Oryzias latipes: one gene and its partner. The protein of the gene in region 2 interacts with the protein of the main gene of each other region in a pairwise test. Links are inferred from orthologs where the notes say so. Each region holds a gene or a part of one and is shown on either strand. Other genes may lie near its edges.

Region 1 (4,258 bases), on a different chromosome or scaffold from region 2:
AACCAAAAAAAAAACAAACAAACATTACATTTTAAAAATCAAAACAAAGTCCCACAAACCAAAACACAGTTTAAAAAAATGAAACAAAATAATTTATGATTCCCAGAAATCAAAATAAAATGTAATAAACTGAAACACGATAAGAAACCAGGAAAGGTAGGTGCTATGGGATATCGCTGATGATCCAGTATTGCTTTATGGCAAATAACTTTCAGTTAAAATAAGGAACAGTCATAATAATTGATTTCCTTCATCTTCTGGTTTATTATTATGTTTTATTTTTTAACTTTTTTATACTTAATTACTTTTGTTTTCCTGAAATGTTTTTGTCATTTTATACAAAAACATTTTCCAAACATTGAAACAAAAACATTAAAAACCAAACATTGAAGATGCATTTGAAAAAAAAAAAAAAAAAACTCATGTCAAAAATCAAACATCAATATCCAACATCATCCTTATTTTATTTACTTTTCATTTTTAATTCTGGAAATTCCCAACCTTTTCATTTTTTTGAAATCATGCTTTTGGTTTCTGGAATTTTGTTTGGATTTCTAAAAAGTTGTGTTTTTTTGTTTTGCTTTTTATTTTTATTTTTATTGTTGTGATTGTTAAGATGTTTTTGCAGTAAATGATTTGTACTTCAGGGTCACAATAAAAAAAATTGAATTTTTACCTTTTACACTCGTTTTTTCTGTCACTGTAATAAAATGAACTACAGTTGGGTCCACAAAAACTCAATAAATACAAACCCTATTTTTAGAAATAGAAGTAGCAAAAATACTTTTTATTGGGCTGTACAACACTAACACATTTAACAGTATGGTTTTTAGCTCACTTTTCAAATACTTGAAGTCCTTGTTGATATTATATACATTTCCTAAGTATAAAAAACTTGCTGCATTGACAGATAATTTACTACATTCTAGGGATTTTCTTCTTAACGTGTTCCTATTTTTAGGCTAGCTGTTTACAAACTTTAGTTAGAGTAAACACATGTATTGCGTGTATAAGTGGTCAGACTGTTGTTGTGATCATGGGTTGGTCGGGATGTTGGGCAGCATGGTGGTGGAGGGAGGTCTGTGCCCTCAGACATGCCCGGGCAGCCTCCCTCTGACAGGTCGGTCACAACACAGCCCCATGTGGCACTTCAGATTTGGAGCTAGCTGCTAGGTCAACTGCTAACATTAGCATAGCAAATGTAAGAAATGTATCGCCGTGCTATCCGGCGCGCGCCAATGCATGAAAACATCGTTTTATTTCCATACAGCCTAATCTGGAAATGTTTTAACTGCACTTGCTAACAAACCTGGCGAGAAGGAGCTAAACAACGAAGAGGGTGGCGGACTGTGCAACTTCAACACCGTAAGTAATAGGGTCGTAATCAAAGAATGGGGTTGAGTGACTGTTTATCAGGAGAAGTCACCAGGTTTTGTCATTTTTGCTACCTTTTTTGCTGTCAGGCGACGTTGTTGGTCACACACTTCTCCCTGCAGATACTGAGCCGTTGTGAAAGCGCTGCTGTGCTGCTCAGGTTAAACGAGGTAAGACCGCGGCGAAATGGAAACCCTCCGCTCAGCTCGACCCCTTGGCTTTATTATTCAGACGAGTCCCACCGTTAGCTGGAATTCCTTTATTGTGTCACGCTGCCACGCCATGTCTCTTGAATATTTCTGCGCACCCTCCCAATCCATTCGCTCTCCATTTCAACCGCCTGATCCATTTGCCTTCTCTTTTTCTTTCTGGGCGCCTGTCAGCAGCCGCTGTATTCAGGCTTCCGGGGAAGTCGCTTTCAAAATAAAAGACACAAGGCCCACAGTTACTTTTTATGAATTTTTTCCCCCTAGATATTTTAATAATTTTATTTTTTCAGTTGTATTCATTTAATTTTATTTCTGTGTGTTCTGCCATGTTGAAAGATGAATTTCTGGTCCTTTAACATACATAAAAGTTTGTCTGTCTGTATGTTTCCTAGATATTTGAAATCTTTTTACCGTGTATAATACTATACATGTTGCTCATATTATATATGTTGCTTCAATATTAAATGTAAACTAATTTTGAAAAGGAGAAGTCAAGCAAAAATAAAATCAAACTACAGGATTTAACTTGCTGCAAAGCAGGACTGGTGGCTCCTTAAGATTTGGAAAACCTTTGGTAAAAACCTGGTCTGAAAACATCGCTTCTGTTGCCCAGTTCTTTTCTTTTGAAAAATAATAGAGCTCAACCTCCGGTTTTGTCGACTACAGCTAGCTTGATAATTGTCCTCCTGTCTTTTTTTCCGCTTTCAAGTTGAGTAGTAATACCGCCTCTAAGCGGACACCAGAGAACACGTCTCTTCTTTGTACAACAGTTGAGAGGCTCAACAGTTTTGACCAAAGTACGGCCGCGTTGTTTACCTGCTGTGACCCCGCAGTCGTTCACACGCAGCCCCGTTTTTCTGTTGCTTAATAATAGTATTCATCCAATGACACTGATCGTTTCCCTTTTCCATTGATACCAGTCTAGTGTCCACCATTTCCACTGTTCTTTTCTTTTCATTGCTTCTTTTTTTCATTGTCTTTGTTTTGACTGTTGGCAACCATTGTCCTCAGGCGGCTCCATCCCGTTGCGAAGGCAACCGGACCGCCGTGACGCAGAGGCACGTGCAGTTTGCTCGAGCCAGCAGCAGCGTCACGGGTCCATGACAGCAGTCATCTAACACTGTCTCCGTGGAAAAACATCCTCTGCTCGTGATCTCCACCACAACAACCTGCACATACATGTAGTCTAAATCATTCTCCATGTTCGAGCCTTGAAAATAAACTATTAAAATAAAAAAATAATTTTTTACACAAATGGATCAGAAGACTGTTATTTTCGAAAAAAACAAATAAACGAACATATAGCTCTTGAAATGAATGAGTGGGAAGGAAATTTTGTATTGAAAAGAGGATGCTGTTGACACATTTCCAACGGAGCCTGTGATTGGTTAGTCTCTGTTGCTATGGTACCAGACATCTGATGCTTTATGTCGGTGAAGCAGGAAGTGACTCCAGTCCCCTCCAGAGACCATGTGAGTTTGTTTTTGACAGACAAACATGCATCATTTATATCTTTTTAATATGAAAAAATGACTAAGAATGTAAAATACTTCCTTGTAAAATGTTGTTTAAAATCAGTGAAGTAAACAAAATTTAGGACCAGCCTCTCAGTGGAACCAAAGTGTTTTCAGATGAGATGAAGCTACAAGGGTTTGTGGGTCAGAGAAAAAGAAAAACAGCAAAAGGATATTTTCTTCATGTGATACTTCAGTAAAACTAGTTTGCAAAAAAATCAAAAAAGTTACAAAACTAATAAAAATTGTAAATGATCCCCAGCGTTTATGAATATTATTTGAAATTTGAATATTCTGTGTCAAATTATTTCACAATTTGTTAACATTTACAACAAATTATTCTTTTTACAAAACAATTTAAGTAGTAAGACTAAAAAAATTCTTCTAACTAAAGTTGTAAAACAATGTTAATTAAAAAGACAAATACATATTTTCTATTGTGCTTTCATGCTTTTCAAGTAGAACTTTGGATATGAAATTGTTGTTGACTGTTTTACCTGAGCTACACTCCTTAAAAATACACTTAACATGTTTCTCTGGGAAACATGTTAAGTTATGAGTATTTGCTTTCAATGCTTCAAGGGGTTAAAATCAAAGAATAAACAAAGACAAATAATTCATTCTTCACATTTGTATTTAATGATTTTTTCTTATTTTTCAAAAAAATTCTACAATTCAAAAATATTGCACAGTTAAAAAAAAGGTTTAAAAAACGTTCACACACCTAGTTGGCAGAAATTTTCAAACTTTTTGGGATTTTTAAAAAATAATTTGTTGATTTTATTCTTACACATTGTATTTCCTAACTTGAATCCTGCGCTCAAAAAAGAAAAAAAAGGAATTCAAATATAAGTAAAATGACATTTTCCACAAAACGTATGTTTGGCAAATGACTTAAAATCTCAGTCATACACAACACAGCTCCTCAGGTTACTTCATCCGTGAGAATGAAATTGATGCATGTTAATCCTTTAGAAGGTTTTGTGCAGCCTTTTCCCACTTTGACCTGTTGCGGCTTCTTCCTTTACACACTGCTAAGTCCTGCAAGCTGCATGGATTCCTGCATCTCCTATGTGAAAACAAAATCTCTGCTGGGTCTCCAACAAGTCCTGTCAGTGTCAGTTCAGTTTGGCACTAATGCGAATCCACTGAAGAGCCTGT
Region 2 (4,394 bases):
AGGCTGCCTGCCGTCCTTCTGCATCCTTTTTCGCCAAAATAAAAGACCGAAATGTTAGGAGGAGCAAAGCGCTGGCACATGGTGGGCGGTGAGGGCAGCTGGAGCTGCTTTGACCTTTCCACCAGACGGCTGAGGAGCTGCTGGATCTTCTCCACCACTTCGGCCTCGGAGCTCATCTTCTTGAAGGAATCTTCATCGCTGAGAGACTGAAGCACAAAACACGACAGGAGTTTTTAGATGAAGCTTCAGTTCTTCATTCACTCCTTTGAACCTCAATAAAATAAAATCATATAGAAAATAATGTAATAGAAAACAGTGTCAATAAATCTATTTGTTTGCTCCTCAATCAACAATGAAACTCTTTAAGTATCAGAATCACAGAAACAAGACTTTTATTTTGTAAGAAAAGTAAAAATGATGTCGTTAACTCGGGTGATTTTGGGATCAAAAATAATTCCAGGCAAAAAAATTTAAAGAAATATTTAACAAGAATATTAAAGGGGTGATTATTCAAATAAAAACTTTAGAAAAAGTATAAATATAAACTATATGTACATATATATATTAGCCCTGATGTTAATGCTAAATAGAAAAAGTGGCCCCAGGATGGAGCCTTGGGGAACTCCACATATAATTTCTGCTAGCTCAGATGTGAAATTACCAATGGACAAATGCCGCACTGAGATCAAAAACAACCAGAACTGACACATTTCCTTTGTCTGTGTTCAATCAGATATCATTCGTTTTATCATATTAAAGTCATTTAAAAAAGAAAAAAAACTGTGTGGTATATATTTTACTTTTTTGATCTAATCAAAGTCTGTATTTTTGTCAGAAGCTCAGCGAATGTCCCGACTCACCTGGGGAGCCCCGCTGGGGGTGACAGGTGAGTCATCAACACCCAGGGAGAGATTCCTCAGGCGCCGAGCAACAGCGCCTCCGAACTCCTTCACCAAGTCAGGCAGTGGGAGGAGCTGCAGGTCCTTCACGCTAACCACGCCCAGCTGGTGGAGTTTTTTAGCCGTTTGATGCCCCACACCTGAGGGCAGCGTCCAGGTTGAACAGTTTCTCAAACACGCCACAGGTTTGCTTTTTAGGAGGCCATCTTTCCGTACCTGGAACTTTCCGAACTCCGCCCAGTGACTCCATGATGTGGCCGACGTCCTCCGGCAGCAGGACCGTCTGCTGGTTGGGCTTGAAGGTGCCTGAAACCAGCTTGGCCAGCAGCTTGTTGGTGGCGACGCCGGCGCAGCCCGTCAGGCCCAGTCTGCTGTGGACCGCGTCCCTCAGCTCGGCCGCGATGTAGGAGCCCAAAGCCAGCCGCGGGTGGTCGCTGCCGCTGATCTCTGCGTCTGCACAGAGGCATGGCGTTCTGCAAAAAACGGACCGCTTGCAGGAAAGAAACCGAGATTCTCATGCAAATATCCTGATTTGCAAGTTCCTCTCAGTTTCCTGACAGCGACGGTTTGCAGCAGCGATGCGAGTCCAACTCACTGGAAGGGTTGTAGACGTGTCCAGAAAACGAATATCCTTCAGGCGGCGGCGTCTCCTTCATCCGCCTTTCCACCATCTCTGTGACGTCCATGAAGTTTTCGTCAAAGCCAAGTCTCTCCACCAAAGGACAGAAAGACGACAGCAGCTCTGAGAGGAGGAAAACGGCAGGTAAAGTCAATCAGAGTCTCAGGATCGCTCTTCTCCACAATCTGATCCTGTAGATCTGTTTTTAATTAGCCTAAGAACGGCTCCAGATTCCTGCCTGTCACTTGATGGGAAGCCTCTCTGTAGAGCGTCAGGTCTTCTCCTCGGACCAGAACCAGCTCTGGACATTTTTCTTTGGCATCGGTTACAGACATCAGCTTGGTGACGCCGCGCTCCCTCGCCACGTAATTACAGGTGACGATGATGTACTTCTGCTGGATGCCTGAGGACACAGACGTCATCGTTTGAGCAACTTTAAATTCTAAGAGGTATATAACTAAGTCACACCTGGATACTGAGTTTTGCTCTGAGATTTCCTATCTGTTACAATGTATTGTTCGTCCTTTAAATTAAGTTTATACATTTATGTTTAACAAAGTTTTGTTCCTGTGTTTTTGCTTTAATCCAGTTTATTCCAGATTGCTCTAGTGCGGTTAATCTGGAATTTAAAACAGAAAAAAGTAAACTAAATAAATACTTATCTGTACATAAATACATTAGAACTTAGGGTTATTTGCTATGAAACAACTGGAAAAAACCTTTAAAGAAAAAGATGGTATAGAAATATACACAAATATATTTATAGACACACATGTAGCCTACATTAATCTCCATATAAATATATCCACATGTTAATGAGGTCATTATAATTACCTTTAATTATACACAGAAATATTAAAAACTACACTTAATCCATTAAATATTAAATGTCAAATGGAAATAAATTTATTATTTAGTGGGGAAGTGCAATTATATAATGTCCATAAATGGTCATAACGGTAAAATGTCATCTAAATGGAATAAAATGAAGAAGAAAAAAACTCCATGAAAGGCGGGAATCTGAAATCAAAAAAGAAAACTGCAGCAGAAACAAGAAAACGGTGGAAAATTGCCTAAAACAGAGAATTTACCTAAAGGAACCTCCCTCAGAGAAGGATCTCTGATCATCTCCACCTGAGCGTAGAAACAGTCCAGGTCAAAGTGGAGAATTACTCTGTGAGGAGCTCCTGGAGGATTATTTACGCTCCATCCTGAAAACGGAGACACAACTGAAGTTCATGACAGCCGCGAGCTCCGACACGGGCTAGCTTAAAGCTTCAGAGTTTACCGGAAGTGGCGGGTTCTTCTGGACCCGTGAACTGGCTCCTCCACTGGCCATCGTCTCCGTCCATCTCTTCATCGCTGCTGTCCATTTTATTTATGAGTCTAAAGTTTGTAAAAACATCTGAAGTGTAAAAGATTCAGCCAGGGTTCTTCTTCTGTGGTTGAAATAGCGGCGCCAAAACAGCTAAGAAGCTCATTACCGCCACCAACTGGTGTGGAAGACGAACCTGGATTTCCTATTTCCCCCCTCCTTAAGAAAGCCATGTATGGAAGCGTTTGTGTAGCATAATTAAAAAATAAAAGTCGGTACTAGAAATGCTTTTTCATTTTCACAATAAAGCTGCATTTGTTGACTTAAAGGGGGAGGGGGACAGAAAAGGAAAGGGAAAGGGCCTGAATGACTTTTTTTTGTATATGCTGTTCTGCAGATATTTAAACTGTTACTGTTTTTACTGTTCTAATTTTTCTGGATACTGTACTGCTCTTTCATATACGTATGTCAACCAGTGCTGTATGCGATGGAGATGTCAATTTCCATGCGGGAACCTCCCCCATTGATAAATAAAGTTGTCTATCTATCTATCTATCTATCTATCTATCTATCTATCTATCTATCTATCTATCTATCTATCTATCTATCTATCTATCTATCTATCTATCTATCTATCTATCTATCTATCTATCTATCTATCTATCTATCTATCTATCTATCTATCTATCTATCTATCTATATCTATCTATTTAAAAGAAAATGAAAAATCAATCTGCCAAACGGCATTTTCGTTTCTTCAACAAAGTTTAATCTGTCACCTTTAATAAAAGGATAAAGAGAATGGTGTTTGACATTTCATTTTCAAAAAGTTCTCTAGTAAATGTGTATCAACATTCAACTAGAAATATCTAATTTGACAATTAAAATGGATTAACAGATTAACAGTTTTTCCTTTTCACAATGAAGCTGCGTTTGTCAACTCAAAAATAAAATGAAAAATCAATCTGCCAAACTGCTTTTTCTTTTTCTTCTTGAATTGTCAAACAAAGTCAACAAACGCAGCTTTGTTGTGAAAATGAAAAGGCATTTCTGGTACTGACTTTCATTTTTAATTATGAGACACAAGTGCTTCCATAGTATGAAAGTATGGAAACATTTTGCATTTAATTAAAACAAGCAAACAAACACAAAAAACGTTTCATGTATTAAAAAAAAATCTAAAACATATTATAAAAGAAAAGAAGAACACATTTTCTGCTCATCTTATAATTTCCATGAGCAGATGAGGTTAGAGCCCAGCCTGTTTGTAGTTCTTAAACATGTTCGAATGAAAATGTGGAAAAGATTTGAATGATCTTTTTTCATTTACAATTGAATGCAATACACTTTAAAAAAAAAAATTATCTTACGATCCACTGGGGAAAAAAAACGCAAACAAAAGTATCCCGAAAAACCTCAGATTCTCTTTTTCAAATGAATGCAATATGATTTCATAATTATGATGGAGTTTTAGGGCCACCCAAAACAAAAGTAGTATTACGAGATTTAAAGTCCTACTTTTTTATCCTAAATTTGCGGATTACTTTTTTCTAACAAATTT

Evidence for each region.
Region 1: the proteins of poli (region 2) and rev1 interact in a two-hybrid assay, tested with the Homo sapiens proteins (2 studies listed by BioGRID). The link is inferred for Oryzias latipes from reciprocal best matches to the Homo sapiens genes POLI and REV1.

The regions. Positions count from the first base shown.
Region 1 is NC_019879.2:9,987,599-9,991,856, reverse strand, and holds the start of rev1 (DNA repair protein REV1), read right to left. Parts: upstream 2,822-4,258; 5' UTR 2,558-2,821; coding exon 2,400-2,557; intron 1-2,399. UniProt on the Homo sapiens protein: Deoxycytidyl transferase involved in DNA repair. Transfers a dCMP residue from dCTP to the 3'-end of a DNA primer in a template-dependent reaction.
Region 2 is NC_019867.2:1,943,711-1,948,104, forward strand, and holds the start of poli (DNA polymerase iota), read right to left. Parts: upstream 3,020-4,394; 5' UTR 2,892-3,019; coding exon 2,807-2,891; intron 2,730-2,806; coding exon 2,610-2,729; intron 1,968-2,609; exon of another isoform or gene 1,922-1,967; coding exon 1,757-1,921; intron 1,642-1,756; coding exon 1,495-1,641; intron 1,353-1,494; coding exon 1,116-1,352; intron 1,040-1,115; coding exon 861-1,039; intron 207-860; coding exon 115-206; intron 26-114; coding exon 1-25. UniProt on the Homo sapiens protein: Error-prone DNA polymerase specifically involved in DNA repair. Plays an important role in translesion synthesis, where the normal high-fidelity DNA polymerases cannot proceed and DNA synthesis stalls. Favors Hoogsteen base-pairing in the active site.